Ovis aries: one gene and its partners. The protein of the gene in region 3 interacts with the protein of the main gene of each other region in a biochemical or structural test. Links are inferred from orthologs where the notes say so. Each region holds a gene or a part of one and is shown on either strand. Other genes may lie near its edges.

Region 1 (10,505 bases), on a different chromosome or scaffold from region 3:
AGGGATTAATTTCCTAAATATTGTTAAACATTTTATTAACAAGAGAGACTTGAATTTCCGCTTCATTAAAATGAGAGAAAATTTTCATTTAGGTCTAAGTGAGGTTTTCTTCCTTAATCTTCAAGTCCTAATAAGAATGCTGTGACACACTGATGCTATAATAGGAAGAATTTTATTCACAAAGTTATGGATGTAGAACATTCTCTGAATCAGGTCTATTGACCTCAATACAAAAATTCCACCTCTGGAGGCATTTGGAAATGTGGAGAGGGGGCATTCTGAAACAGTCATGGTGACTCTGCGGCAGAGCAAAGGGGAAGAACCACACCAATGACAACTGGTACTTGGGCCCCAAATGCTAAGTGAATGATAAATCATATGCCACATACAGTATAGCATACAATCTACTCAAATCTTCTACTCTCACCAAAACAAATTATATAAATGTTCCCCATTCATCTCTCCTGTAGGAAAGTAAAGTCTGTCAAGCCTTTACTCTTCAAAGTACAGAGTTCAACATGGAGACCAGAGGGTATACAATTTGTAGTCTACTGGAAGACAGCTTAGTGTACTATCGTTCTCATCAGATCCTATTCTTTCTTTCTTCATGATCATAATCTAGTATACTCTTTTCAAAGATCTATGCCCACAATTTTCTCTAACAGCATGGTAATTCATCTTTGCTCCAACAACAAACTTTCAGCTGGTACATGTGAGAAAATTCCTTTGCTCCAGTAAGTATGGCAGAATAAAATTTTCAAGTATCCTTGGAATCTTGCCGCTATAGATCCAAGGAAGAAGATCCATATGCAACATTTTGTGTGTAGCAACATATGTGCATTATAACGAGGATAAGGTTCACAGTTTTCCTTAAGATTTTCAAGAGTATATGATCTTAAAACATTTTTTAAAAAATCAACTCTATTGAAATCATCCCCCAAATCTTTGATAATTCCTGTGCTCAATAACCTGGTGCCTTCCCAATCTAAAACATATGGTTTAAACTCTCTCAACATATTACTCAAAGTCCTGCATAATGCAGTCATATCTCAACTATCTGGAGTTTAAAACTGCTGTCAGTTTCTTTTATGTACCTTTTGATTCCAGCAAACTAGACATATGTTTTTCCTTCTCGAGGCTCTGCTTACAGTTTTCTCTTGAAACATTTTTCTATATCCTCAACCATTAAAATCCTAATCATTGTTCAAAGGTCTAGTTCAAACGCTACACCCACAGCGAAGACTTGCCTGTCTACTCAGTGGTAATTAATCTCCTTAGCAGCTGTGCTTTCACAGTATCTGTTACTTTTACTCAGCACCTGTCCCATCCCACATGGATCTATGGTTTGTTTCTCAGTCGTATCCAACTCTTCAGAGACCCCGTGGACTGTAGCCCACCAGGCTCCTCTACCATGGGGTTTCCCAGGCAAGAATATTGGAGTGGGTTGCCACTTCCTTCTCCAGGGGGCTTTTCTGACCCAGGGATGGAGCGCACATCTCCTGGATTGCAGGCACATTCTTTATCGCTGAGCCACTGGGGATTTACTTATATTTACAGTATTGTAACACTCTCCCGCCCTGCTAGAATGTAACTAAGTAAAAGCTGTGTCCCATGCCTCACTGTGATCACCAGTAAGCAGCACAGTATCTTAGATAAAATAAGGGTAAATATCTATTAAATCTGACTTGAAGGGAAATTTGACTATTAATAAACAACAATGAAAACAAAATAAAGCAAAATATCTGGAAAGGATATGGCAATCACATCCCCAAAACTTACAAAATGACCATTCTACTCCAATTATGTACAAATTCACACCCATAAATTCTTTCAAACAAGAGAAAACAACAATTCAGTTATGGAAAGTCTATGTGAATAACAGCTTTAAAATAAATAAATGTTTTCAAAAAAAGTATTATGAAAACAATTAAGTATTACACAATTACAGATTTTAATTAACCATGATTATGATATTCTACTATTCATGACCATAATGTATGTCTTAACTATCAGACTGTTTCTATTCTTTAGCAGAGCTGTACTCAAGTTTTCTAAGGGTTAAAATTAATTAATTTGAAACAGCTGATAATTACATTAAAGTGATTCAGGAGTCATCAAATAACCATGTTCAGGTTAAATCCTAAAAATAGAAACAACTATAAAAAGAATGAAGTCTGTAAAATTTTATACTTCATAATTGTAAAAACCAAGTATACTAGAAAACTATACATTTTTAAAAAAACTAAGAGCTCTGTCTCTCTTGGTTTACTTTGAAAACTATTTTATACATGTTCCTTGTAAGAGTATTCAGGGGCTAATAAGACTTACCCAACTAAGAAAAGATACTTTGTACATCACATAGCAATCTAGATCATCAGAGGAAAAAAACTATTTTCCCAGTCAAGAATGCTTGCCTAATTTTAGTAACTTCAAGGCTCTACACTATAGAGCTCTAGGCAAATGGGTAGGGGATAACATGAGTGAAACAAAAACCTCTGGGTCAATTTTAAGTGCTAAATATTGCTTTTATTATTTAAAGCCTGTGAACTTCCTGCTGGAAAGATTTGCTAATAATCAACATGTTCATGGGTTCATCAATTTTCCTAGCATATACCTAAAGTCATATGCAAATACTAGAAACATTTTTGTTTATATATGTTATCCAGAGGCTCCTTATATAATATCAAGTTATTCAAAAGCAATTAGAAACTTTTGGTTTAAAAATATGCAAACACTTGTTAGCTGAGATATTGAAAAAAGTAGGACAAAAGCAGCAGCAGAAGAGTACAAAAAGCAACTGTAATGCCAAATAAAAGGTCTCACAATTAACGAGCTATGTGACAACCAATACAGGTTTTAATAAAACAGACTGAGCTGTATAAAATTCTTTATATTCTTTGCATACTCCTGTATATTTATCTTTCTCTAAAAAGTTAATTAAATGGTGGCAAACAGCTCAAAGAATTTCAGAAGCAACATTATTTTAATCTGCCATGTTATGACACCTAGATGAATGGCAGAATCTGCAGTCCTGGTTAGAAACACTATGATTTTAAAAGTTAATAATGGCCTTCTATTTTATAAAGACTGCTAACAAAGGAAAACACAAAGGAATGCCACAATAGGAACTGCAGTATGGTAGACTGGTCATCAGGAAATTAAAATTCTAGCTCTGCTATCCTTAGTTCCATAGGAACTATGTAAACTTTGGCAAAAATGCTCTTCACCTCTCTGAATTTCAGACTCCTCATCTCATCAAGAAATAATAAAAGTGAGAGAGTTGACTTTGTGTTCTCTTTTCTTTATATCTGTGTGTTTGTATATACACACATAAAATATCTAAATGTTAATCCTGGTTTAAGAAACATTAGACACTGAAAATTCAAAAATATTTAAGTTTCATATGAACAAATACACTTGAAAAATCAGGTATCCTGAAAGTTAAGGATAGGCAAACAAGGAGTAAACAACAGTTAAGCGTGTTAATTAAAATCATACAACAGGAAACTAATTAACCTCCAGTTTGGGGCTCCAAAAATATTATAAATTTATGCTTGCTCTATTTTAGAATGTTGATTATTAATTACTTCCTGGATGAACATCAGGAATATGACATAATATAAAATTAACACACAATTACCAATTGAAACTAAGCACACTGTACTCTGGAAAGCCAAAATCAAATTATTTTTATAAAGAAGCAATTTTGTGAAAAAGAAGTAATTTTGTAACTTATAAAAGCATTCAAAAGCAGCATACAATATGAAAGTATACAACTATAAAATGGCTAAATGTTGCACACTTATTTATTAACGCCAAACAATATTTCTTTTATTCTTTAAAACTGTCATGTAAGTCACTTCAAATTTCTTTTTTAAGTTAAGTATAAAACTGAAGAGAGAGGAGGTCCCAGAGCTCAGAACTGCTGAAGAACAAACTACTCAAGTAGTAGAATTCTGTATTCTGAGAAGGAAGTCCCTCATTGCTCAAACATTCCATGAATAAATAACTTCTATCATAAAGCTCTAGTTCATGCATCAGGAGAATAGGTGGGTTTTAACAGAACTGTTCTTAAAGATTCTTTCTTAGAAAATATGAAACATGGAGTAACTGCTCATTTGGCAAAGACCATAATATAATTTTTTTCAATCCTAAACTGATTATTATAGATAAAACTAATTTAAGGTGAAGACTTACTCCTGAAATTACGAAGCACAAAATATCAATTAAGATTTTCAAATAGGCCATCAAATTTGTTTTTTAAAAAAATTTCTTACTGTAATGAAGTCATCCCCTTTAACCATTCTTCCTTGGTAAAAAATCCCATGCTTTCAGCCTCCAATTTCCACGCTAAAACTAACATAATAATCTGGAAAGAACAGAACATAAAGGATAGGGGAGAAGTCAGCACAGAGATTATCATGTCTATATTTATCATGGAGAGCATTTTTATACAACTATTTCCATCCTTCAACTATTAAAGAGTACAATCTCTGGAATTATTAACTGTAAAGAAATTTAGATGGGTCAATTTCTTAAAAGCAAAATATTCTAACAGTTTCTGAAGGTAGAATCTCTTACTCTATTACAAAAGACATTTATATCAAGAAAGATAATACATGCCCACGTTAAATTCACTTAAAAAAACCTAAATGAAAATCTGCAATATTCATGAAGAAACAAAATTTTCTTATAAGATTAAACTGTTCCAATTTTTAGAAATTTATGAATATTCTATACCCCACTTGCATTCCATTCTACTTAAAAATAAAACATACATTTTCAGGTTCAACACCAATGTCTTCACAAAATTTTTCCATTCCTTCTGGCCCTACAACTTCATCAGGACCTTCAAAGACAAAAATAATTTATATATTTTATTGTTATAACTTTATATCAACATAAAACAGAAGCCACTGTGTTAAAGGAATTTATGAATACATAACATTTTTTTGTGAATAACTGACTTTGAATTTTTACATGCCTTTGATAAAGTATGAATATTTGTACAGATTAAATTTTTTTAACTTTGAAATCCTCTTTGAACACATTATAAAATATAATAAAGGACATAAAAACAAACATTAATGACAATCACTAGGTTGTACAATTAAAAATACATTTACTGAGAGCTTCCTCTGAAGAAATTTTCTGACAATGCATCAATATAAAAAAGCACAAGAAGGTTTGAGCTCCTTATTCTACTAGAATGTGCCAGTACCAACCCACAATTCAAGACAGTAAACAGAGGAGAACAAAGGAGAATATCTGTTTCTTACTAAACCAGATGGTCATTCATTAACCTTCTGAAATATATCCATAAAAATTTAATATTTTTTAAGATATAACAATAATGATATAAGAAAATGGCTACATTGAGATTCCAGAATGAGAAATTTTCCAAGTAAAGCATGAATACTATGTAATCTTAATGTAGAAATAAATCCTTAATCTCTCAATTAGCTATGTCTATCATTAGTTCAAAAATTAAGGACATTTTTCCTATTTTTTCCCTTAGTAACACTAAACATAAGTCAGTACATCAATTTTCCTATTTTGTATGTTATCTTTTGCTTAGTAAGAGTAAAACAAATTTGTGACAACATAGATGAACCTCAAGGGCATTCTGCTAAGTGAAACAAGTCAGAGAAAGGGAAATACAACATGAGCTCACTTGCATAAGGAATCTACCAAAAATAATCAAACTCAAATACAGAGAAGTGATTGGTGGTTGCCAGAGGCAAGGGTGGGCAAGATGAGTGAAGGTGGTCAAAAGGCACAAACTTCCAAACGTAGTAAGTCCTGAGGATGTAACATGGAGCAGGATGACTATAGTGTTAATAATACTATTTCGAGTATTTCAAAGTAGCTAAGACAGTAAATTCTTAAAAGTTCTTATCACAAGGAAACAAAATTTGTAGCCATGCGTAGTGACAGGTGGTAATAATTTTGTGATAAAATCATATATCATTATGTTGTATACCTGAAATTAATATAATAATATACATCAATTTAAAAGGCTAAAATAAAATTTTAAACTAGATATGATACAAATATGTTTACCACACCTGGTTTTTGAAAGAAAACACAGTCTTCAAACATTAAAGTAGCTAAGAGAAACTTGTTTCCTTTCTTAAGGACTAAAAATACTCCAGCTTATATGTCATGGACTAGACCAAGGCTGCTCAGGTGGCATTTTATATCACCCTCTTTAGTTCATAAGCACAACATGCGGCCAATGTCCTATGGCTTTTCTTAGTAGAAAAATGTAACTACCCAGTATGGGACCAGTTAAGCTTTTATTGTCTCAGATGAGGTCCAGACTGCTAAGATGATATTAACACATGATCTGAAACTAAATGTTTTAAAAATTCTTTGGTCTAAATAAGTATTGTACTTTTTTATACAGTGAAATGTTAAAAGGTTAAGGAGTGATAATTATAGGAAACTTTCACTTCCTAATATACATTTGGACACTTTTTTTATGAAAATGTGTTAATTACATTATTTTAAAAGCACACATACATAATTAAGGTGTTAAAAAATAACCGAATGTGCATCCTTATATGTGGTTTGGATGAAAATAAAAACCAGATAAAGAACTGAATGGAAGAAAACAAAGTTTTGTTAAGTCATGATTGAAATATATTTTAAACTTTTCTAATGCAGCAAGAAAGCAAACTTGTCCTCCACACTGCCATCACTAGTAATTGTAAGAGAAAGCTGAAGAGTCATATCAAGAAATATCAGTTACTGTCATAAAAAATAGCCTCCCTGGAAAATGGGAGACTATTGATTAAAATTTGATAAAAATCAAATTAAACTGTATTATATAAAGATATATAAGATACATATAAGACCTTTTTGTAAATGTCAAGTGACTTTCACAAAACAAATAACAACAATCTAAATCTAAAACAAGTCTATACTATAATGTTCTTTTCCCCAGATCACATAACATCAATTATACTTCTTCAAACAAACTCTTCCAATAAAACTACTTCCAGGGTAAAACCTCTGGAGTAGAATTTAACTATTTCAGGCACAATATGGGTTTCTACTCAACTTAAGAAGCTATGAAAATGATTTAGTTCACTCTACCAGCTGGTAACTTTACTGCTGCTGCTGCTAAGTCAGTTTACTAGGACTAAGCAATTATATCCCCCTTTTTTAAATTCTTTTTAAGACTTTAAAATGCCTTTTCACTTCCAACACCTTTCTTCAACAACAGGCCTAATATATTCCCGAATCCTTGCCAATGCAAGTATCACTCAAAATGAGAGGTCTTATGAAAGGGAAAAACTATCAGGCTTTTCACACACCACTTATGACCTACAATATCTTATTAACAAGATTTGTGGTAAAACATTTTGTTGCAGTTGTTTCGCTCAACTGTGTCAGACTCTTTTGTAACCCCATGGACTGCAGCCTGCCAGGCTTCTCTGTTCATGGGATTTTCCAGCCAATAATACTGGAGTGGGTTGCCACTTCCTCCTCCAGGAAACGCTTTTAAAATTTAAAAGAAAATCAATTTTCTGATGGTTTAATAACCATATAGTTCCCAGCTATATCTGCAGGGTCTAAAACAATGCCAGCCAGAGCAAATGCTCAGGGGAAAAAAAAATCTGCTCAAAGCATGACACAGCACCTTAAACATAAGCTACATAGGAGCTACATTGTTAATTTTTTGGAACAGTATTGTAAAAATATACAACCAGTAAATCTGATGCTGCAATACTATCACTCTTTTAATAATAGCTAACATTTATTGGGTTCTAACTACATACCAGGTACAGCACTAAGTGTTTTCTTTACATGTTTTATCTTGGAAGGCACAATTATTGCCTCCATTTTAAACAAGGACATCTCAGTTACTCTAACTGACAGACAACTAGCACCTCCTCATCGTTTAGGTCTCTGATTGAAGTAATCTCCAGAGAGGCCTTCCCTAGTCAGTTTATTTGAAAGTCTATCCCAACTTTCTACTTTCCATCCCTGCATCACACAACATTACTTTTATAATCTTCCACCATGTGTAATTATCTTGCTTACTTACTGTGTCTTCCCCATTAGAGGGCAAGTCCCCCAAGGGTAGGGATCTTGTCTGACTTGTTCACCACTATATTCCCAGCACTCAGCACAGTGCCTGACACATGGATACAAGTGCTCCATAAATATGCATCATTAGATGAATGACAGAATATTAGTTAACCTCAAGTATACTTACTAATATTTTTTTTGGAAAAAGAAAACTGGCTGCCGTGTACAAATTTTAAAACAAGATAGTAGCAGCTAAGCATAGGCTACATGGTCAGAATGACCGGGGTTTGAATCCAGCCTCTTGTCATTGTATGATCTTGGGCAAATTACTTGATCTAAGCCTGTTTCTCATCTATAAAACAAGAATACCACCAACTACTTAGCAGAATGGTCACAGGAAAAAAATTAGATAATAAAGAATAAAGATAGCAATTAGTTTGCTGGCTATCAAAAAATGTTGGCATAGAAAATAAATGGTTAACTAAATCTAATCCTACCCTACCCAGGAAAGTCCCTATGAGAAGTAAAACAATCAAGCATGAAAGAAAGAAAAAAAAAAAAAGACTAATTAATTTTATGTATCTAGTACCCTTTATAGGTGAAATAAGATGACCAGCCTTTGATTCTATATCTTCCCATGCATACCAGTAAAACTGGCATTTTGAATACTGGGTCAACATTTCAAATGGAGGTCAAAAAGAAAATGAATTCCCTCTATTTAATTTGGGTTAGTGGTTGTCTTGGGATGCCAGTAATAGCAGCTTTTCTGGTCTATAAAGAATCTGTTCTGTTACTAAACAATTTTTAAATTATATTGTTGAGATTGCTCAGAGGATACCAACAGTGAAGCTACTGTCTCTCAAAATAGTCTTTTTCCATACATAACCTAAAAAACTAAATCTTAAGTTCAAAATTCCCTTGAGATCTAAGCCTTATTATCACTAAATATAAGACAATGACTGCATATACAGTGTTTTATTCTAAACAAACACTCTGAGGATGATAGGTAAAAGGGGGGAAAAAATCTCCAAAAAACCCAAACAGGGAGGCAGGTAAAAGAAGGAAACAGTTGGGGGTGGAGGGCAGATTTAAAATCAATAATTCCAAAAAGAACTAAATCATTCTAATGATTCTATGGGGAAAAAAATGTATAAAAGTTAATATGAATTAATCTCCCCTTTAACTGCTATGAAGAAGTTAATAATAAATGAGAAACAAGTTTCTTTTTCATATACTCAACTCTGGCCTCATCCCAGGCTTTTGACTTTTACCTCTGAACTAGTCTCATCCTAGACCTAGAGTTGTTCATTCACCACCTATAGGATTTAGTGCAGGTTAAACTAGCTTCTTCAAGAAATTTTCAATGACACTTTCAAGGTGGGGTTATATACTCCTCCTATGAACTCTCACAGTGCATCTTCCTAATATATTAATAGCATATAGAATACTATACTAACATCAGTCTGTTTACTTCCTTATTTATTATTGCATCTCCAGTGGAAGTGAATGGCTAAATAAATGACTGTGCTGCTGCTGCTGCTAAGTCGCTTCAGTCGTGTCCGACTCTGTGTGACCCCATAGACGGCAGCATTAAACAGGAAAACTGTCATGGAATGATATATGAGTTTTAAATCTTTTACTATGTCTTCCCAAAAGTTTCACAAAAAAAAGTTTCAGAAAATACAAGCTTATGGTTCAGAAAAACTTCAAAGAAAACTGAAAAGAAAAACAAGAACCATATAAAGTATAAAATGTTCTATTACACACTGTTTTCCAGAATACTAACTCTACTGTAGCCAATGGACATAAACCAATGATGAATCTATTTACAAATTTTACTAACAGTAAATGAGTTTCACCCTACCCACTAAACATATACTGAATTACATATTTAAAAAGATATCAGCCTGAAAGGGCACAAAATTCTTAGCCTAACCATAATCCTCAGTCTTGACCCTGATCTCATCACACAGCACTAACACACAGCAGGCCTGCAATAAATATTTGTCAAATGAATGAACCAAAAAAAAAAAAGTTTTAAAGCATGTGACTGATATCTTCTTATATTAATTTCATTACCTGCATACTCATAAAACCAAGCCAGGCACTTCTTGCTTGAAAAATGTTCCTCTCCACTTATTAGTCTAGCAGGGGGTTGGGATCTGCAATAGCTTAGAAAACACACAAATGCCTAAGAATTTCATCAAGTCTCAACTTTTAGTGAAAAGCTAAGTTCAATATGAACTACTTCAATTCAAACCAAAGTCTCTCTCTCTTTTTTTTTTTACAGTTGGTGTTACAGGGAAAAACTGGAATTGTTAAATATATGCAATTTGAAACAGTAATCTACACATAAAAATTTCTGGCTAACAAAGCCCAAATGCTACTTTGCTCACTATCAAATACCAAAAATATCACTAAAATTATTGCTCCCAGATTTCAGAAGACCACACAGAAGTTCAACC
Region 2 (10,505 bases), on a different chromosome or scaffold from region 3:
GCTGGTTGGTTGGCAGCACAGGTGACAACCTGGACTTGGAATTGGCATCTGAATCGAAGTAGGGGTGCAGTCTTGCAGGACTGAGCCCTTAACCTGTGGGATCTAACACCCTCTCTGGGTCAGTTCAGTTCAGTCACTCAGTCGTGTCTGACTCTTCGCGACCCCATGAATCGCAGCACGCCAGGCCTCCCTGTCCATCACCAACTCCTGGAGTTCACTCAGACTCAGGTCCATCGAGTCAGTGATGCCATCCAGTCATCTCATCCTCTGTCGTCCCCTTCTCCTCCTGCCCCCAATCTCTCCCAGCATCAGAGTCTTTTCCAATGAGTCAACTCTTCGCATGAGGTGGCCAAAGTACTGGTATTTCAGCTTTAGATCATGTCAAAACTGAATTGCTTGGTACTCTTGGAAAACACCCACACACCAGACCATGCCTTTGGAAGCCAGCCACAAACTTCTGAAATTGGCTAATTAGCAACAAATAGCCTTACTCCAGTGACCTCAATTCCTTGACTGATGCTCAACAAATCCCTAAAATGCTCACTTCTGAAAAAGTGGCCAATCCTGAACTCCAGTTTCTCCCAAACTCTAATAAAATTAGCAGGAGAGGGGCACCAGTAAGTTCATCAGAGAACCCAGCAGCGCACAGAGTGCTTACACACTTTCATCCTCCTCCAGGCCAACTCTCTCCACACTGTGTGAGCACCCCAGCAAATTCTGGGTAGACACATCCACCTGAGTTTACACCTCGGCTCCCCTACCTTCCAGCTATGTGACTTAGGACCAGTCACTCAAACGCTCTGAACTTCTGTTTCCTCTACGTATTTCCAGGAGATCAGGATACAGCACATGGTCTGACTGGCCGCCTTCTCTTCCAAAAGGAGCTACATGATGTCATCAAGTCAACAACTGGCCTTCTAGACTACATCCCTTGAATCCTTACAGCCTGCTGATAACCAGATCTCAAAACAAAAATCCACACATAAACACTTAACAATGGTGTGCTAAAGTAATGACAATCATCGTGATGGACTAGAAAGATTCTGCCACCTCCACTGGTATCTTTGTGTACACTGCTGCACCTCCTTAGGGACAGTTCTTGGATCAGTCCCCACAATGCCCAACTCTCCAAAAGGGACACTCAGTTCCAACTGAGTCAGTATCTTTCTGGCCTACCATGTATAACTGATAAGGTGCCACTTACACCCAATCACCATAAGACCTTCCATCCAGAGGTGAGGTGAGGTGAAGTCGCTCAGTTGTGTCCAACTCTTTGCGATCCTGTGGACTGTAACCTACTAGGCTTCTCCGTCCATGGGATTCTCCAGGCAAGAATACTGGAGTGGATTGCCATTCCCTTTTCCAGAGGATCTTCCTGACCCAGGGATCAAACCCGGGTCTCCTGCATTGCAGGCAGATTCTTTACCGTTTTGAGCTACAGGGAAGTCCTCCATGATAGGATAACCCTTGTCCAAATCCTACTCTCGAGGTAGGATATGTAGGAGCCAACAAGTAATGAAGCCAAAATAAATAATGGGCCATCAAGAGGAAAAAAAACACAGTGGCTTTCAATATACTATTAGAAGTTAGACCAAAACTCTTTGGAGAGTTAGTTCACTGGTAACAAGTACAACTACAGCTCTCTTTAATCATCATACATTTATCGTAAGACTTCTACAGAACACTAGTTTGAATTTCAGATATTCAGATTAGGCAATTCTGAGATGCCTCTGCTGGAAAGTGTCAGAGGGAAAACCAAACCTCTTCAGCATGCTTTCTCAAGGCCAGAGTTCTTCATAATCCACTCTCCAGGGAGCAACTGCAAAAGAATTTCCTTCAGAGGACTGAATACATTTCTTTGGGAAAAGAGATTTACATTTTAAATGATATTTTTAAAAAATGTCCATTTAATTACTACAGTCAATTTTTGTTTTTCAGTTTCCAATTATTATTCTCAGCACAGGCTACTTACCATAATTTCTCAGCAAGTACACTTCTATACATGGGATGATTTTATTTTTTGTTAAGGCAATTGAAAATAAATGTTAGGAACCGACTGGGGGTGGGGGGTTGGGGGCGGGGAACCCAAAGTATTGTCTGTTGAATGTGCCTGAAGCGGTGAACATGCCTTATTTTGGAATACCTCCTGCACCACAAGCGTAGCTTAGGTACACAGGGCCAGAAAGCCTGATGTATTGTTTGCTCACGTGATAGGTTTCTTTTTTCTTTCCTTTCTAGCTATAACAAAGTTCCAAGGGCAATTCTTTTCTAAAGAAATCACAAAAGCTTCCCTCTAAGCTTCTGCCTAAAAGTTATTCTTCCCACCAGAATTTGGGAAGAACATTCAAATGAGTCATTTCAGTATGATATAACCACGTCACAGCACCATGGGAACTAGGTCCTACCTTTCTATAGGTTCAAACAAATGAAGAAAGTTCAGAAGGAGATGTTTCCCACCTCACTTTTGTAGCCTTGGGGCTGACTTGATGATACATGAAATACTTTAAAACTACCTTGTGTGCTGTGCTTAGTTGCTCGGCCATGTCTGACCCTTTGCGACCGCATGGGCTGCAGCCCGCCAGGCTCCTCTGGGGATTCTCCAGGCAATAATACTGAAGTGGGTTTGCCATGCCCTTCTCCAGGGGATCTCCCCAAGCCAGGGAGAGAACCCAGGTCTCCTGCACTGCAGGCGGATTCTTTACTGTCTGAGCCACCCAGGGAAGTTTAAAACTACCTTAAGGGGTTTTTAAAGAGAAAGCCACGAAAAGAGAAAAATAAACAGATCAGTTCTGAAATCAAACACAAATAACTTTTTTATTTATGGGGTATCGTTTTACATCAATTCCATTAAAACCTAAAACCAGTTTGCTGTACTCAAGTTAGGTGGCATAACAATATTTCAGTTAAGCTGGGAGTCACAGACTTGCACACGTTTATGAAGGTGATGCAAATACTGACGACACGAAGCATTCACAGTTACAGGTTAGCTGCAGTTCACTGACAGTAACCCCCGAGAGAAATGACTTCATGAAAAGAAGCAACCCACATTTTGGTCTCATTTACAGACACCCAACAATTTAGTTGGTCAATGGATTCTATACATTTATTATACAACATATGAAAGAATAAAAGATAAGGCTTACAGAGGTATTTTAGCAGTTGTAAGAGTAAAAACCAAGGGCACAAACTAACTTTTAAAGCTTTCTGTATAAACTTCAAAAGCACTGTTAAGATGGAGACTGAGAGGCAACAGAAGTCTGTTGTTAATCCAGATCCTAGAAGTCTGTCTAGTCAGCTTTATAAAAACTTAGTTCAGAGGTCATGCTTCAAATAAGCTGCACGTAACGTTATAGAGGGTGATTATGGCAAATAAAATAATGCAATTTCTGACCTACCGCAACAGTAAACATCTAAAAGTTGGATTCCATTATCACAGAGTATTGCAACGTGGAGGCCAAAACACGACAGAAAGAGAGAAAGGGTGGAGATGTAGGTGATAAAGAAAAACCAGAAAAAGGCACCCTCATTTACTTAGCATTTGCCCATAAATAAGTGCTTGGTGACTGCTCAACTTATGTAACTTAGGGAGATTTTTATGAAAAAATATCTTATTACTTCTGGCTCTTCCTCCCCTTAAAAATAACTGCATAAAATCACAGAAACCAAGGGCAAGCACGCTGCAGTCACATTTATTTTTCAAGGGAATTCAGAGATTATTTGGCCTTTTCTAAATAGGCAAGATCATCCTTTGGAATACTTACTTCCATGTTACACATCATGAAATAATTTTTGCTTAGCTTTTCCAAAACCCCTGTCATCAAAATGTTCAATGTGTGTTAAAATGTAACATTTTCCCTGTAGCCACCCTCTTATTTTGGGATTAACTGTGCTTACTGTTAAAAAATTTTCCAGTTTCTTACAGTACCTTTGAAAATAATTTCATTGATGATTTCTATTTGCTTTAAACAAAACTAGAGTTGATCGAATTTAAGAACTGCTGCCTTTAAAGTGTGATTTGTTAACTTCATGGGATCCTTTTGAAAATGAATCAAGTTCTTTACAGGCTGGAACCTGCCTATAGCCAATTGCCAACGGAGTTAACAGGCACCCGTCGGAATGGAAGCCCTTTCAACACGCTGGTCTCAGGAGCTGTGCTTGCTGTCAACGTCTTCTGTTCTTTTCAGGGATGAATTTGTGCAAACTGGTGTGAATGTGTAAAGTAGAAGGGGAGTCTACAGCTTCTAAACAAGGAATGATTAAGTATGCTTAATCACTACAGAGTTTTTCAAACTTCTGGTTTATTTCACAGCAAACCAAACCTTTCTATTTGGTAGAAAAAGGAAGTGAATTTCATTCTACCAGATCATGATTTTGTATATGCACACACACTGTATATACATACAAAATTCCTGTCTTTGGCGGTTCAGTTAGGGAAAAACAAAATATGAAAATCTGAACACTGTTTGCAAAGAAACTATGAAGTCGTGGTCAAACAGTAGCATTGTCTGTGTGCTTTACTCATATAATGCCATTTAAAGGTTCACATTTGACCCAAAAGGTTTTGGGGCCAGGTTTTGAAATAATCTGAACCTCTTCCAACTGTCACATGTTCAGTCATGGATTCTGCTCACAACTATGCATTTACTTGCTCAAATGCACCAGTAGCTTTTACTTGGTTCTAAGTCATTAGACTGTCTAATGACGGTCTAAGTCATTAGACTACTGTGTTCTCACAAAACTTTAGGGACTAAATTAAGTCATTCAATAGCACCAGAGAGTTGAGGGAGAAGCATGTTTTTTATACATTTCCTTGAGAAGGGCTAAGACAAGAAAAGAAAAAAACAAAAACATAAAATACAAACCTAAAAATACCGTCCCGTTTACTTCTGTTTCCTTACCCACATAAATAATGGCTATCACCTCTCTGTACATATTACTCAGGTAATGACGAGCGGCCCCTCCAGGAAAGGTCCTACCGTGTAATAGAGTTTTTAGCTCAATGCTGGTGGTGTCGTGTCCACTGCCTGCAATGGACATTCTGCCAGGAAAAGCCTAGCATGAAAGAAACAAAAAAAGGAAAACAAAACAAAACACCTCTCACTTATAGTATAGTTCTTCCCCCCACCCGCCCCCGCAAAACTAGAAAATCAGACACCATGAAAGCTTAACTAAAAATTCAAGCCACAACTAAAAGTGCTCTGCAGTTATAAATTGCCAGCAAACCATTAGGTTTTCATGGAGGCGGCAAAATAAATTTTACTTAGAATGGCATAGAAAGCATCAGCAGACCAAACACTGACTAGAAGAATGCAAAAGGGGTGGGGGAAAGCACTAAAAAAGTGTACAAGGGTTTAAAACCAATGGGAAAAAAGGTGCAATTGTAATTTGTTCATCTGTACCTATATTCAAACTATGACAGCTTTAACATTAGAAAATCAAAACCTATATACTGCATGGTGGAAATGATTTGTGGCATGGTATGGGTCTATATGTTCAATTATTCTAACTTTCATCATTTCAAAATGCTAATATTTAAGTAAACCAAATTAGATTTGGCATAGCGCCTCTGAAAAGTTACGACTCCCACCTCCTTCCAAAGTTGGCCTCTTAAATAATAAGGTTAATTCTGGCAACATTTGCATATGGTAATAGCTGTTCTGTCTTGTGTTCTGAAATGCTACATTTTGAGACCAAAGAAAAGTGTAATTGGGTCATTTGAAAAAAGGGACTAGAAATATGCCACAAAAATTATTTTACAATACATTTTTGCAGAAATAATCTCTAGGTGAAGCTTTGTCTTTTTATACACATATACAAAATTTAAACAGCAATATACACATAATCACAGTGAGGACGTTGGCAAATTCACCAATCTGTAGTGTAAATACAAACTGCAAAGCAGCCTTCCAAGAGAACAATGCTACACAGCAAGCAGAGCTGGCCCATTCAATAGCAAACACCAACACGTCCCTGCCAAAGGGAGACAGTGCAAGAAAAGCAGCATGCGCTTGGATACAAACAGCAATTTATGGCTAATGGTTGACATAACTGTGGTAACAGTGACTCTCTCGCTGCTATGCATAAAGTCCTAGGACATCTGTTTGTCTTTATACCACTCCACAAACTCGTCCAACAAAACTGGCCCTGAAGAGAGAGAGAAGAGAGGGAGGGAACAACACAGCTATGAGACTTCTCAGAGGCTGAGGAGCAAATGCGCGGGAGACAGGGGGAAAACAACACCCGCCCAGTACTTACACGCTCCATCTTCATCATAGTTGCTGAGGTCAAGGTTAATTGTTCTGCTAAACTCTAGCACATTGCACCACTGGTCTTTATTAATAACTTTATATTTTGATTGCTGGTGGAGGAAAAATAATATGAATTACTAACACAACAAATCAGACAGTTTCAACTGCTGTGACAATCAACTTGATAACAGCTCACAAAGGTCCATTTGAGGGGTGTTAGGCACCATGCTAGGAGAAGGGTGAGTGATGGCGAGAAGGGAACTTTGGATGACAATTTTAATTACAAAAATATTATGGGGGCTCAACATAAAACAACAAATGCATCAAAGAAACACATCTTTACATCCCTAGAAGTGCAACTGCTAGATGGCAAAAGCCCTTTTATGTAAAAGAGGGATAATATCCATTTCACAGAGATGTGGTAAGGCTTAAGGCAGATAATTTCTATAATTTATGAAAAGCACCTTATTGAGTGTGTGGCACACAGTAAGTGCTAAATAAAGAGTTGCTCCCATTAACAGGCCCTGACATGAACATCATGCTTCCTGTCAAGCTGTCAGCTAACGGCACATGCCACTGTGGGTTTACTCAACGAGACCTTGCTAAGAGCTGCAAGCAGTCTCAGGACTAGGTGGTCCAGCCACTGAAGAGTTATTGTTCTAATAATTAAAAACTTGAGTCTGATCATAAAAGGACTAAGAACAGCCATGAAATAGTTTTTCTCTTCCTCCCAGACAGGAAAAAGGACACATGCATATTTCAAAATACAGTATTCCTGTATAAAAATCTAAAAATAAAACCCAGTCTGATAATTCTTAAATCTTTGCCACTGAAACCGGGAACACTGGAAAACAAGTACATAAAAAGCAAAGAGAGTTGAGCCAATGGTTTGGAGGATGCAAACACAAGAAAAGCTCAAGTGAAAGGATTACTGGGTCCTTTTAAAAGAAAAATGCAAACTGGTGTGAGAGAGAGAACAAAGCACAGACTATAAGTGTAACTTTCTAAGCAACTAAAAGCAAAACCCAGTCACTGTTGATGGTGCTCCTGGAACTGTGTGAAGTCAAATCTGCTGTAGTCTTTTAGCTATAGAAGGACCTTCACACCCAGCCTTAAATTCTTCCCAGCCTCCTGAGATCAGGAGCCCATTGCTACTCACTTTCCAAATAAAGCTAACATTTTTGAGGATTGTCAGAGAAGCTGGAAGAGATCACTGGTATACATGGGCTGTCATGTAAACAAGTGCTTCTTATATTAAAAACTTATTTTCATACCTTTCTTCAGGAATCCCAGTTAATAATGTTAAAAGCAAATTTCAATAACAGTTCTCCAAGGAGCCTGTCAGTTAGAAGTTTTTCTGGACCATTACACCAACAAGTTGTGAGGAAAATTATTTCAAGAGTGAAGCTGGAGTCAGGGTAAAGTCCAGGAATTTCTCCAAGATCCAACACCCTCTTCCTTTCAAGCAAAAAGCAATTTTTAAAGGGGTTTGGGGACTGGAGGGCAAGAAGGAGGCTATATATGACAACCCAAGTAACTCAGACTTTCAGCTCAAGTTCTTCCAGGTCTTAACAGTATTATTACATTGGCATCAGAGCCAGTTCCTAATAACCAGCAGCTCAGAATTTCTCTCATTAATACTTAGAGCAAACAAACGATAACAATGGAGGGAAGTGCTGGGTTCTTTCAAACACAAACATGAAGAAAATTTAAACTGCAGGAGATACCAAATGAAGGAACTGGCCACTGAGACTGAAGCTGCTTGGAGATGAGAGTGGGTAAGGACTTGTTACAGACTGAACTTAGTGAGAGAGTGGATGGCTGTTCTCTAACCTTCACTTCATCAAAGTGGAGCTTCATCTAAAGCCACAAAATAAGGTAAAGCTTGTCCCACTCTCGTTATAAAAAGCAGGAAATCTAAACACAAACAAAAGGGGGAAGAGAGAGGAAAGGCCAGAGCTGCGCTGTCTGGAGCATTTGCAGGGGGGCCAGGGGCGTGTGCAGTGCACACGTGGGGACGCTCGGGACTCGGGAATGTGCTCAGTGGCAGCAAGTGTGTCGCCACAGTTCCTACAGGCAGAGAAGTACGACAAACAGAAAAGTACAGAAAAGGACCAAGTAAAGCACACTTGGTAGTTCTAAGCAAGCAAACATACATTCCATAAAATAACAATTTAGTACCTCTAAGAACTGGTGAAAAACTGGAAAAAGGGGCCAGATTTTTCCTAGTAACAGTCCCAACATGCACTTGGCAGTGTTTATGTCTAGGCTTCGCTGGTCCTTTTCCTGTTTAACAAACAAAAACAAGGATGAGCCAAGTGCCCCCAAATAATCTGTTTCAACAATCCAAATTCCTATTTCACTTCAGTGAGGAATCAGTAAACAGCTCCTGTATCATACACCATAAAAACCCTGAATCAAGACTAGGGTAGGGGGGAGGAGAGGTGGTCAGACATAATGGAAGGATTAAACAGTTTTGTACTATAGAGTTTTACTGTGAGAAAGATTCATATCAATTAAATGATTACCCTAATCTATGATTATTTCATGGGATATGATTGTTACCTGTGATTATTTCTTGGGATAAATAAAAATCCATAACTCAGTCACTAGCTGTTTGACATTTATGATTATTATCGACATCATAATTACTGATCCCCAAAACCTTTAACTTAACTAAATAGAGTTTAAAGGTTTCAAATTTCATGCTTAGGAATCAGGTTTCCTTGAAAAAAAATCTTTCTTCCACCAATTTTATTTCACTGGTAAATGTTTTTTTTTGTACCTAAAAATGATGGAGTTCAGTGGAGCTCATAATGAACACTGGGGCACTGGAGAATCTTCCATCCCCCACCCTGGGGGAAAGCAGTATATCCACCTGTCTACCAGCCACAGTGCTTCTTACCTTAGATCTGCTGCATGCGACATCTCCTAGCAGAACACCCCTAACTAACAGCCAAGTGAAAGACGACATTGCATGAGGAATCCAGAAAAGACATTTACATAAACCTGAATGTGGGCAGATTAAGCTCCTTCTACGGATATTTACAATTAAGAATGCTAATTTCTCACTGATCTTTCTTACAAGATTCCATTTGGGAACTAAAAAGTGGGCAGTTTCTATGTAAAAGGACAGAGGACCTGGGACCCTGAGTGGTAACCTTAGACATCAAATGCTAGCTAGCCTCGTCATGGTATCTTAGTTTCAAAGAAAGTTTGCAAAAGTATCTTTCTACAAAGGGAGAAAGTGCCTGGCTGTTTCATGTGGAGTGGAATCTCAATGTTCACCAGATTAAAGGAGGATGCATGACCCCGTGGCAGCCACATATGCAGCCACACATACCTCCTGATAAAACTGTTACCTCAAGGATTCTAACAGTGAAGTGCTCTTGAGTACAAGGAGAATTTCTGGCCCTGACATTGATTTTAAAGTAAAGGACTTAAAACAATACAGCAAACGTAAGCGCCTCACTCAATAGCCAAGAATGGAGATGTGCGACGGGTCTGCCTTTTAGCCCCAGTTGTGCGGCACGATGACCACGCAACCACAGGCCGGGTCAGATGGCTCTCAGTCACCCGGCCCTGTCCTGGCCACACAGCTGAAGTCTGAGGCGGGCTCCACAGTTCAGGGCAAGGAGGGGCCTGCCCTCCGCAGCCTGTCCTGCCCTCCCCTGGCCACATGCATGGCCCTGCTCAGGGGTGCAGGGCTCACTCCGAGGAGAGGACAACAGTGGGAAGGGCGCCCTGTGGGGGCCCCGCTTCTGCCCCCGAGCCTCATGGGGTGTTGCACTGCATGGCTCGTGCTTCCGCAATGCACTGTGCAAGGAAACAGCAGACTTCCTCTTGTCCTGTCACATGGGTGCAGCAGCAGCAGCATTCCCCGCTATGAAGCACCCTCCACAGTCCCATGGAAGAAACCCAGGGACCTGCTGGAAACGCACGCGGCACCACGGGACCGGGCACCAGTTGAACAACAGCTCAGGCAACGCTGGGCTGAGGGCATGGACGCTCTGGAAATGCTCTCCCTCTGAGGAGCCTGCAGTCACTCACTAGACCTAAAGTCGCCAGTCTTGCCCTGATACACACTGTGCCTTCTTCCAATACCATCCACGTCCCCATCACAATGGACATACACTAAGGTGACAGAAAAGAAGATACAGAGGACCTGGACAGACTCTTGGAAACAGTGCAACCATCTGACAAACTGGTGATCATGAAGGATTTCAATGCATGTGTTTGGCAGCGATGCCAAAACAT
Region 3 (11,224 bases):
CAGGAGAACATTCTGAATAGGTAGCATTCACGTTAGAAAATTCAGAAGGCCCGAGGGCATATACAGCGGAGCACCCCTCCCCTGCCTGAGTCACACGGTCCTGCAGCGCAACAGCCAGCCGCTCTGGTCATTTGTGTGGACTTACAGAAAGATTCTGTGTGCAGGAAAGCAAACACAAACGTGGATGCATGCTCATCTGCCGTCTTTAAAACACACATGGAGGCTGAATCTTCACCCTGTCCCCCGCCTGACATTTTTCGTGCATCTTCCCACTTGAACACACAGCAGCAAACGCCCTCCTCTTTGGACAGCTCCCCAGGACACACCTGTTTACCCATCCAGACTCCCACTGACACTCTTGAGTTACTTTTTATTGAAAACTGAGAACCTCCTATACCAGTCATTTCACACAGGGAGGAACACACTGGTGGAGAAGTACCTAGAAGTGGAATTGTTGGATTAGCCTATGGGAAATTTATCGTTTGACGTACTTGGTGACACCAGCTTGTCTGTGCTCACCAGCAATGCACACAGACACTTGGGTTCTGGAGTAAGGATGTGGAGCAGCAGACAAGTATGGCCCTAATGTGCAGTTTTCTTATGGGGGGACTAAGCATGCTTTAGGGAATTTAAGCATCAGTGATATTCCCCTTCCTTTTCCAGTCTTCTGCCCACATCCTTTCCTGTCGCCTGATTGCTGCTGCTACTTTGGTTAATTACACCCTTGACTCTGGAGGGTTTCTCAGTTTGTCATTCATCATGTGACTCTTGAGGGTTTTTGCTGAACACAAGTGATTTCCTTTGATGCAGTATAATTTATCTACGTTTTCCATGGCAGCTTATAGATTTTCTGTCATCCCTGAAGCCCCTGCTCCTCTCTCTGTGTCCCTGACGTAATTCCCTCCTCCTCCGTGCCAGGCTTGCATCTCCTCCCTCCTCCAGCATCTAAGGATGGAGTGCTCACAGCCTGGCTGGAACCTGCTCCTTTGAGCCAGATGCCTAGCCCTGTCCAATCGCAGGCAGGCCCAGGGCCTCCTGTGCCCTGCAAATGCCACGGCACCACGTCCACACTTCCCTACAGACAGGGCCAGACTCCCCAGTGGCTGCACAAGGTCTCAGCAGCGCCTCGGGAGCCGCGCTGTCATCACAGGCAGGGCACAGCAGACAGAAGTCCTGGTGGCTGCATTTCCCACCTGTTCGCTCCACTTCCAGCCTCCCTCAAACCCACCCACTTCTCTGCATCTGTGGGAACCAACATCACCCACCTGCCCAGTGCAAGGGCCACTTTTGCACTACAGCCCTTCCAGAAAGGCGGTTTTGCAAACTTAGGCCACACGTGAAAAGCCGGTCGCCAGTTTTCAGTCTTCCACCTGTCTGTCCCATCCTTACCGCCTTCGGAAGCCTGCTCAGACAGAACCCCTGCCCCTGCCCAGGTGACTTCTGTCTGCCTCCTTGGGCAGTTTTAGGTCGCTCCATTTCACACCCTTTCCCCAGGGCTGGCGTGTCTCTGGGCACCAGCGGGTTCTCTGTCATGCATGAGTGGATCCCCCTGTGCCATGCAGGGTTTACACCCCAGATGGACAACGTCTCTGTGGACCCGGACATCGTGAGCCCCCACGTCCACCTGCCCTGGGACCTCGGTGTGGCCAGCCTCACAGGCCGACAAGGGTCAGCCTCCCACGAAGGTGGCTATTCACACGCGCTAGCGCTCTCCAGCAACCTGGGAGGTGAGCTGGACCCCACGGAGGATGCCCGCCAGGGCCTGGGCCACGGGCTGGCCGTGGCGAGCTGGCGTGTCCCCAGGGGTCGCAGCCGGGCTCGGGGGCGCCCCGGCACAGGGGCCGGAGCTGAGCGAGGGGGCCGCTGCGACATGTGCGGGAAGGTGTTCAGCCAGCGCAGCAACCTGCTGCGGCACCAGAAGATCCACACCGGGGAGCGGCCCTTCGTGTGCGGCGAGTGCGGCCGCAGCTTCAGCCGCAGCTCGCACCTGCTGCGCCACCAGCTCACGCACACAGAGGAGCGGCCCTTCGTGTGCGCCGACTGCGGCCAGGGCTTCGTCCGCAGCGGGCGCCTGGAGGAGCACCGGCGCGTGCACACAGGCGAGCAGCCCTTCCGCTGCGCCGAGTGCGGCCAGAGCTTCCGCCAGCGCTCCAACCTGCTGCAGCACCAGCGCATCCACGGCGACCCGCCGGGCCCCAGCGCCGCGCCCCCCGCCCCTCCCGGCGCGCCCGAGCCCCCCGGCCCCTTCCCGTGCAGCGAGTGCCGCCAGAGCTTCGCGCGGCGCGCCGTGCTGCTGGAGCACCAGGCGGTGCACACGGGCGACAAGTGCTTCGGCTGCACTGAGTGCGGCGAGCGCTTCAGCCGCCGCGCGGTGCTGCTGCAGCACCGGCGCGTGCATAGCGGCGAGCGGCCCTTCCGGTGCGCCGAGTGCGGCCAGAGCTTCCGCCAGCGCTCCAACCTCACGCAGCACCGGCGCATCCACACGGGCGAGCGGCCCTTCACCTGCGCCGAGTGCGGCAAGGCCTTCCGCCAGCGGCCCACGCTCACGCAGCACCTGCGCGTGCACACGGGCGAGAAGCCCTTTGCCTGCCCCGAGTGCGGCCAGCGCTTCAGCCAGCGCCTAAGGCTCACGCGCCACCAGCGGACGCACACGGGCGAGAAGCCCTACCGCTGCCGCGAGTGCGGCCTGGGCTTCACGCAGGTCTCCCGGCTCACCGAGCACCAGCGCATCCACACGGGCGAGCGGCCCTTCGCCTGCCCCGAGTGCGGCCAGCGCTTCCGGCAGCACGCCAACCTCACGCAGCACCGGCGCATCCACACAGGCGAGCGGCCGTACACCTGCCCCGAATGCGGCAAGGCCTTCCGCCAGCGGCCCACGCTCACACAGCACCTGCGCACCCACCGGCGCGAGAAGCCCTTCGCCTGCCAGGACTGCGGCCGCCGCTTCCACCAGAGCACCAAGCTCATTCAGCACCAGCGCGCGCACAGTGCAGAGTAGCCGGGGCAGGCGGCCCCGCCACCGTCCACCGTTGGGGGCGGGCTGTGCGGGGAACACCTACCTCATGGGGTTGCTGAGACCCGTGATCGCGTGGGTACAACCCAGCTCTCTTAGGGCCCGGCTCCCAGTAGGTGCTCAATAAACAACGCACAGAACCTCTGTCTGGGTCTGCACCCACTGTCTGCCCACCTGCCTGGACCCCTCTCAGCCCTCACTACAGGTCTACCACCTTCTCTGTAACCACGGGGCTCCTGCAAGACGCAGGGCTCCCGGCAGATGTGGCCTCTGGCAGGGCCTGCCCACGTCTGCAGGACGTCCCCTTACAGCAGGGCTTCTGTGCTATTTGCTTTCAACCCACCTCTCTGCCGGCCAAGTCAACGGCCAGCAGAGGACCAGGAGGGCACAGCCCTGCCAGCCAGCCAAGACCACTGGGTGCTGAAGCATCAGATGGGTGCCATTAGTCCACTGCCAGCCTGAGTTTATGTCTTTATGAAACCGAGGCGGCCATATCTTAGCTGTAAAAGCTGTAAGGTTTTAAGTGGGAATCTAGTCTTAGGAGACTTTCCTCTGTTCCCACAGACTCCATCCGGTCTGAGAACCAAAGCTGGCGGCAAGGCTAGGCCAGTTCCCCAGCCCTCCAGGTGCTGTCGTGGGCTGTTCTCTTCCCTCCCTGGCCCCAGGCACAACCCCTAAGTACCCCCCAACTGGAAGGTCTCTATCATGTGTGTTCAGTAACTAGTCACAGGACACACCAGCTGCTGACATACAGGTGGACAGACACTGGCAGCTCCAGGTCAGAGTTCCGCAGACTTGAGGGCGGGACCTCTGGACCCCTCCCGCCTTTTCCTGTGCCACTGCTGCTTTTGCCCTGTCCTCCCCTTCCATCCTACTGCTGGGGCCTTGACACGGCCCCCCTTTCCCCCAATGGATGGCGGAAGGACCAGAGACCATGGGTGAAAAGCAGTTCCAAAAAGGGGATATTCATGCAGCAGGGTCTGGCTTGGGACTTGAACCTCACCCTAGACTGGAGTCAGCCTGATCTTGGTCTAGAGATCTAGAGGGTTCTAGGAACAGCCCTTCCAGAAGCACAGCTGCTACCTCACCTGCCACTTTGAGTTGCCCCAGTCCCTACAAGACTTGGGCCCTGGTATCAGGAAAAGACAAGCAGCCTGGGCCAGGGGCTCCCTACCAGCACGCGAGAGAAGGCCCGCTCCAAGCCTCAGGCCCCCTCCTCCCCAACCCGACCCTTCCCCTTCCCCCTCCCCGCTGGTCTAGCGCCAGCCACAACCAGGGCCACTCTCGGCATCTACTGGACAGGGAGGCCTGGCGTGCTGCGACTCATGGGGTTGCACAGGGTCGGACACGACTGAGCGACTGGACCGGACTGGACTGGACTACATCCAGCAAGGTCTGCCACTCCCCAAGGCAGGGGCACTCCTGTGCCGCACGATCAGGACTGAGGCGGGGCAGGGTGGGGGTGGGGGTCCCCTGGGCCCTTTGACAGCACTCAGTTCTCTGGTCACAAACGGTTCTGAGAACCCTGGTGTGAGATATGTAGAATCAGAGGGAAGAGGAAGACAGAAAGCGGCTGAGGAATCAGCTCAGAGAAGGCACACGAATGAACACAGGTGGCCAGTAGCTAGTGGTCTCAGGTTGGAGGAATGTTGCCGGAACTTTATAAAATCCTGTAATGTGGGGGTTTTTTTATGACTTGCGTGACTTATAATCTGAAACAAAGAAAACTCATCTTTGGTCATCTTTGTGCTCATCATGAAATCTGTGCAGATACAACTACATAAAAACATGAAATTCCACACAGGAAAAATCACAACAAACATGAAAAGCATGGGGACATCTGGATGGGACCCCACACCCAAATCCTTGAGAAGTCCAGGGACCCACCTCCCAAAACAGCCCTCTGAGAAGAAGTCAACGTGAACAGCTATGTGAGGGCAGCTGACCAGGGACACCTTTGCAATCCAGTCACATTGGCTACAGGGCAAGACCCAAGTGTTACCATGCAATCAAGACAGAGGGCTTGGACAGAATGACCATTTGGCCAGAGCCATAGAAGAACCCAGGAGAGGACTACCTAAGCACTGGTCATCTAGGAAAGCTGCAACAGTGCCCAGTCAGCCTGTCCCCAGACTGTCTGTATCCGAGTTCATACTGTCCACTCCCAAGCCCAGCCGGCTGCCCCACGCCACATCCATCTAGTTATTCTCATCAGCACCCCAGCCTCCCAAATCTATCCACTTGTCTCCACCAATCAGCACTGCTCTGATTCCAGCCATCCACCTCCAGCCTGGAGGCCATTCCCTGGACAGACCCCTTCTTCCCAGTGCCAGGGCCCAGAGGCTAGGGTAACAATCGTAGGTGCACTTTCACCCTCGCAGCCCACACACCAGGTTCTGCCCACTCCTCTGCCCGGTCCCTCCACAGCACTGGCCCCAGCTTGCCTCAGGGCCTTTGCATGTATTAAGCCCTGTGCTGCTTACTAACAGGCGGCAGGACCAAGGGCCGCAAGCACCTGTACCACCCAAACCACCTGTGCCTCTCTGCCACGTGAGTGAGCACGAAGGTGACAAGCTTAGCTGCACCACCTCCAACCCAGCCGCCTGCCTCACTTAGGCCATCCCCTCCTCCTCGGTCCAGACACTATGGCCCCCTTTGCTTAGCATTTTGTTTCATGATGAAGTTTTACCCACTGCACGGTGGGGAAGCCACAAGATCAAAGATCACACAAGTCTAGCTGTGGACTGTTACCTCTCCAGGGAATCAATACTCTATCCCGAGATGGGACCTTAGCTGAAGGGTCTCATTAACTGGCCTGAGGATGGACACATGAACCAGGCTGGCCAATAAAAACCATCCCTGAGACTTTGGTTGGAAACTGCAGGATGGTCATCAACCCTCACGTGCCGTACAAAAATAATCACCAAGAGTAGAGCGGATGAGAAGAACAAAAAGGAAAACTGAGTTTGAAAGAGGCCTCCGCGTCCCAGGAACAGTCATGCCTGAAGCCTGAGAACACTAGGATGGTTGCGATCTCATCCGCCCCAAACCTGAGGTTTTCTGCAGCTTCCAATCGCTTAGCCTCACCCCAGCACCTCTCCAGCACACAGCTCTCAAGGAAATCAACGAAGCCGGCAGTCTGGGGCGAGGACGACCAGAGGGTTGAAGGGGGGCTTCTGGAATGGAGGAAAGAGAATGCAAGCGGGAGAAAAAGGGAACGGCTGCAACAGCCACGACTAGGATATGAGACCACGGAGCCCAAGGACGCCGAGGGTACCCGAGAGGAGGCTGGGGTCGGCAGGGACGCCAAATCACGGCCCGAAAAGGTGGAGGTTACTTTCTGGGGTGAGGATCGGGCCGGGGTAGCCAAGAGGAGGCCATGGCCCACCACTAGCGCGGGCCCAACTGGGCCGCCGGACTACTCCCACTGTGCTCCAGAAGACGGCGGCACGCCGCCTCAGCGACGGGGTGGGTCGTGCGGCAGGAGCCTCATTCGGTCGCGGGAAGGCTCAGGGGCAGAGCCCCGGCCGCCCCCCGGGCCCGGCCCCCCGCCCCGACCAGCCCTCGTGGCGCCGCTCACCGCCTGACGGAGTCCTCGGTGACAGCCTGAAGTCGCAGAACCGCTCCGCGCCGCCTGCTCGCGCCTTCCAACGCACGCTGAGCTGTGATTGGAGGGGAGGCTGGCTCCGCCCACCTCGCGGACGGAGATGGCGGAAGGCCGGGGGTCGCCTGCGGGCAAACTCTAGACCCGTGCGGAGGGCTGCCCCCAAGCGTGTGAGCCCGTGTAAACCTCCACAGTGTTATACTATCCTCTGACACGTTTTATTTGCTAGTTTACCTCAACCAAACTCTGCAGGCGGGTTCTCTGAGCCTGAGATGGGACCCCGAAGGTTCTGAGTCATGCACTCTAGGCCACGCTCCTGGCCTTGCTCAGGCTCTGACTCTAACCCTGCCTCCGTCTGTGGCCCCTGGGGTCAAGCCCCTTGTTTGGCCCGTCTATGCCGCCGTCCGCACAACTGCGAGTGGGCATGGCGGCCCGCAAGTGAGGCGGCCTGCATCTGCCCCACTTAAATATGGCGGCGACACCGCCATCCCCCTCCTCCCTGGACTCGCGGGCGTCCCCGGAAGTGACCGGCCCGGCCCGCACGAACGGAAATACCCGAACCAAGCCGAAGGAGCCCGATCCCCAAGTCCCAGCGCGGAGCAACGTGGGGCGGTGGCAGCGGCTGCGCAAGCGCACAGCGCAGGCCGGGCGGGAAGAGCCGAAGCGGGCAGGCGACGGAAATAGCCGAAGCGGTGGGGCGCCCGAGGCCGTTGCGGACCTCCGCGCCGAAGCCGCTGCTGCCACGGAAGCCGGCCCTCCTGTCTAGTGCACGGCCATCGCAGCCCCCGCCTCCCCCTTCCGCCTCGAGCCGCAGAGCCCTCGCGAAGAGAGCGAGTGACCAGGCCCAGGGACACGGCTTGAGGACCCCGCGTCCGCAGCCGAGCCTGAGGACGCCGGAGCGGACGGCCGGGAGGAGGGAGCGGCGGGTGGGGGCGGGGCCGAGTAAGCCCGAGAACAGCCGAGCGGGCCCGAACGCCGCCGAGCGGGCCCGAGGCGCCGGGCCAGGCCAGAGCCGACTACGGGAGCCGACGCGGGCCGCGCGGTGGGCGCGGAGCAGCGCGGCAGGCCCGGCGGGCGGCGGCAGCAGCCGGAGAGGCCGCGGCGGCGGGTCCGAGTGGCGGAGGCGGCGCGGGCGGCGGCGGGGGGCCGGGTGGCCGGGGTCCCGGGCCCCGCAGCGGCGGCAGCGGCGGCGGCGGCAGGATGATCAAGCTGTTCTCGCTGAAGCAGCAGAAGAAGGAGGAGGAGTCGGCGGGCGGCACCAAGGGCAGCAGCAAGAAGGCGTCGGCGGCGCAGCTGCGGATCCAGAAGGGTAAGGGGAGTCGGGGGATGGGAGTGGAGGTCGGAGGTCAGAGCCTGGCTCCGGGTGATACGGGAGTCAGGTGTGGAGTAATGCGGCTGCCAGGGGTCAAAGGTGTCAGAAACGGGGAGGCCGCGGATGTGGGGATCGGAGACCAGGGCCTGGGGGCCGAGGGGCCGGGGATGGGGTAATATAATCACCAAAGTGGTCGGAGGTAGGGGGGCCGAGCAGGGGGCACTGAGCGTGTTCGGAAAGCTAGGAGTCTGATACTAGGGACCGAGAATCTGAGGGTGGCAGCGGAAGAGGGAGACCGGGAACTCGAGAGTCGGGGGGTCAGATGGGAACCTGGGCGACAGGAAGAGGAGATAGGGACAGTGGGGCCGAGGATTGAGGATCGGGGTGGGAGATTTAGTGTATTAACGCTAGAGTCACTGGGAATCAGAGTCAGACCTGGTGAAGTGGGTTCTGGGGCCTGGGTGTCGTGGGTCTGGGTGAGTCACATGTCAGTTTGGGGTGACAGGAGGAGGGAGGGATGCTGGGTACCAGGGATTATAGAGATAGGAGTAGGGTTGGGTTTAGACCATCCTGCTAGAGATGCTGGAACTCTTATGCTCAGAATAGTATAGGGTAGGAGGCTTGGGAACTCACAGATCTGGAGGTCAGATGGGATCCTGAGTTTAGGACGACAAGCAGAGAGGAGTGTATGGACAGTGGGGGCCAGGGACTGGGGGGGGTGGTGATTTAGGGTGAGGAAGGGAAATAAGATCCTTGCATCTGCGCAGACAAGTAGAGACTCCTCTAGAAAGCGGAGGTCGCGGTCAGGATGCTGGATTTGGGGTGGGACACACAGGAGTGGGAACATGTAGGAGCTGGGCTGGGGGACTTACGACTGGATTCAGAAGAGTTAGAGCTTGCCCCCCAGGAGTTCCAGCATATCTGCAGTGTTCCATAGATACGGAAGAGCCTGCCTGGAGACGCGGAGCAGAAGGAGCAGGGAGAGGGAGGAGGGGGTGGCCCACTGCCCAGGACAGAACTGGGGTCCTGGGTAGAGGTTATGGAGGCTCTGCTGGCACCTGCTCTGAGCACCCCCTATCTCCCCCTTTCCTGGCCTGTTTCCCTTCTCTGCTGTGAAAACCCAGACATAAACGAGCTGAATCTGCCCAAGACGTGTGACATCAGTTTCTCAGATCCAGACGACCTCCTCAACTTCAAGCTGGTTATCTGTCCTGATGAGGTGAGGGCACGCTTAACTGGATTCTCAGGCACGGCAGGTGACACCACCTCAAGTTGGCTGGTTCACCTGCCGGGCCTTGCAGAGTGGGGTTCTGACTCCTCTCCTCTTCCTTCACAGGGCTTCTACAAGAGCGGGAAGTTTGTGTTCAGTTTTAAGGTGAGTCTCAGGTGTGCAGGGGTGGCTCCCTGGGCTGAGGAAGCAACAGCTGAGGCCCCAGCCAGGCACTGCTGTGCACCTATCCACTTGCCCTCTCTTCTCCTGGAGCCAGGTGGGCCAGGGTTACCCGCATGACCCCCCCAAGGTGAAGTGTGAGACGATGGTTTATCACCCCAACATTGACCTCGAGGGCAACGTCTGCCTCAACATCCTCAGGTGAGGGCACTGGCCCTCCACTACGCTGCCCAGCCCTGCCTGCCAGGCCCCCTTCATGACCTTGCACTATACCAGTCTCTTTCCCTTCCCTTCCCCTTGTGGTCTGTGTGTCCCTCTGTCTCTTCAGCTCTGCGTTTTCTTCCTCATGGCTTGACCTTGGCTTTCTGGCCTGTGCTTCTCTGCACCCTCCCGCTAGCATTTCCCGATCGTGCTGTCCCATGCCCTGGGCCTGACCTGTCTGGTCCCAGCAGGGCCTGTGGTGGCTGCCCGCTCACCAGCCCCTATCATGATGCTCTCTGCCCACAGAGAGGACTGGAAGCCAGTCCTTACGATAAACTCCATAATTTATGGCTTGCAGTATCTCTTCTTGGTGAGTAGGGGTGGGGGTGGGAGGGCAGCTGGGGGAGGTTGGCCCTCTGACTTCTGGGCTTGTTGACCTCCTGCCCCTCCCATACCGGCCACAGGAGCCCAACCCTGAAGACCCACTGAACAAGGAAGCCGCCGAGGTCCTGCAGAACAACCGGAGGCTGTTTGAGCAGAATGTGCAGCGCTCCATGCGGGGTGGTTATATCGGCTCCACCTACTTCGAGCGCTGCCTGAAATAGGGCTGGCGCATACCCACCCCTGCCAGGGCCACCAGCCCCGGCGTCCCCTGCAGATATTTATTGGGGGCCACAGGTGGGGGGACAATGGGGCGGCCGGTGGGGGAATCCCATGCCCTGGCCGGCCACCCCTCCCTGCTACCCGCTCCTAGTTTTTTTTTTTTTTAACCACCATGTGATTAAGGTCGGCGCTGCCTCCCCCGACCCGCTCAGCGATGGGAAATGAATTGGCTTGTCTAGCCCCCCGCTGGGTGCTGTCCAGCCCCACCCCCTACTCTGGGCTCTGGGGTGGGTGGCCATGGGGACTGGGTGGCTGGGGACCCGGCACCCCACCCCTCCACCACTGGAGGTCCCACCAGGCTATTAAAGGGGAATGTTACTGCATGGCCTCCGCCTCTTCCTTTTGTGGGGTGGGAGGGGCAGGTGATGGCCGCCAGAGCTCCTGCAGCAAGAGTGGTGGGAGTTGTGTGCTCACAGGTGGTATGAGGGGACTCCCCCTCAGGCAGGATGAGATGAATCCCATTCTGGGACAAGGGAGGGGCAGGATCCAGTGACCACTGGCTTCCCGGCCAGTGAGCCGGCACAGGGGCTAAGTCCGCACCGTCTGCTGTTCTGCCCTCCTACCGGAGGAGGAAAACTGCCTGGTGCCACTGGGTACCTGAGATTTGGAAACATCAGCGCGAGTTCTGGGTCCCTCAGATGAGCAGAGCTCTACAGTGAGTGACGTGGTGGGGTGAAGGACCGCCGGGTGGCTGGAAGGAAGGCGCCCGAAAGGGCATCAAGCCCACGGGGCCAAGATGGGACAGGGGCTCAGCTCCCTTAGGCTGGACTTGAACCTACGGAACACCAAGCTTGCGGCAGCGAGACGGAAAATGCTGCGCATGCGCTTGTGGCCGGCACGGTCCTCGGCGCGTGCGCACGCGCGCTGTTGGCCCCGCCCAGCATTCCGGGCGCCAGAGGGGCGTGTGACGTCAGGTGGTTTAATCCGGAAACGGCGGTGACGGCCGAGGCGACAGAACAGAGGGGCTGTCGTTGGTGGGCGCTCCAGGGCTCTGGATGAGAGGAGCGTGACCCGGAAACGGAAGCGAGTCCCCATCCCAAC

Evidence for each region.
Region 1: the proteins of UBE2M (region 3) and DCUN1D5 form a complex in vitro, tested with the Homo sapiens proteins (3 studies listed by BioGRID). The link is inferred for Ovis aries from reciprocal best matches to the Homo sapiens genes UBE2M and DCUN1D5.
Region 2: the proteins of UBE2M (region 3) and DCUN1D4 form a complex in vitro, tested with the Homo sapiens proteins (3 studies listed by BioGRID). The link is inferred for Ovis aries from reciprocal best matches to the Homo sapiens genes UBE2M and DCUN1D4.

The regions. Positions count from the first base shown.
Region 1 is NC_056068.1:5,191,542-5,202,046, reverse strand, and holds part of DCUN1D5 (DCN1-like protein 5), read right to left. Parts: intron 10,212-10,505; coding exon 10,120-10,211; intron 4,850-10,119; coding exon 4,779-4,849; intron 4,370-4,778; coding exon 4,278-4,369; intron 1-4,277. UniProt on the Homo sapiens protein: Contributes to the neddylation of all cullins by transferring NEDD8 from N-terminally acetylated NEDD8-conjugating E2s enzyme to different cullin C-terminal domain-RBX complexes which is necessary for the activation of cullin-RING E3 ubiquitin ligases (CRLs).
Region 2 is NC_056059.1:68,453,932-68,464,436, reverse strand, and holds the end of DCUN1D4 (DCN1-like protein 4), read right to left. Parts: intron 8,535-10,505; coding exon 8,430-8,534; intron 6,359-8,429; coding exon 6,194-6,358; 3' UTR 6,145-6,193; coding exon of another isoform or gene 6,089-6,144; 3' UTR 5,053-6,088; coding exon of another isoform or gene 4,997-5,052; 3' UTR 2,791-4,996; downstream 1-2,790. UniProt on the Homo sapiens protein: Contributes to the neddylation of all cullins by transferring NEDD8 from N-terminally acetylated NEDD8-conjugating E2s enzyme to different cullin C-terminal domain-RBX complexes which are necessary for the activation of cullin-RING E3 ubiquitin ligases (CRLs).
Region 3 is NC_056067.1:66,427,732-66,438,955, reverse strand, and holds UBE2M (NEDD8-conjugating enzyme Ubc12), read left to right. Parts: upstream 1-7,286; 5' UTR 7,287-7,817; coding exon 7,818-7,926; intron 7,927-9,053; coding exon 9,054-9,148; intron 9,149-9,265; coding exon 9,266-9,304; intron 9,305-9,416; coding exon 9,417-9,520; intron 9,521-9,771; coding exon of another isoform or gene 9,772-9,826; coding exon 9,827-9,890; intron 9,891-9,984; coding exon 9,985-10,125; 3' UTR 10,126-10,506; downstream 10,507-11,224. Other genes in the region: MZF1 (myeloid zinc finger 1), read left to right, coding at 1,563-2,998.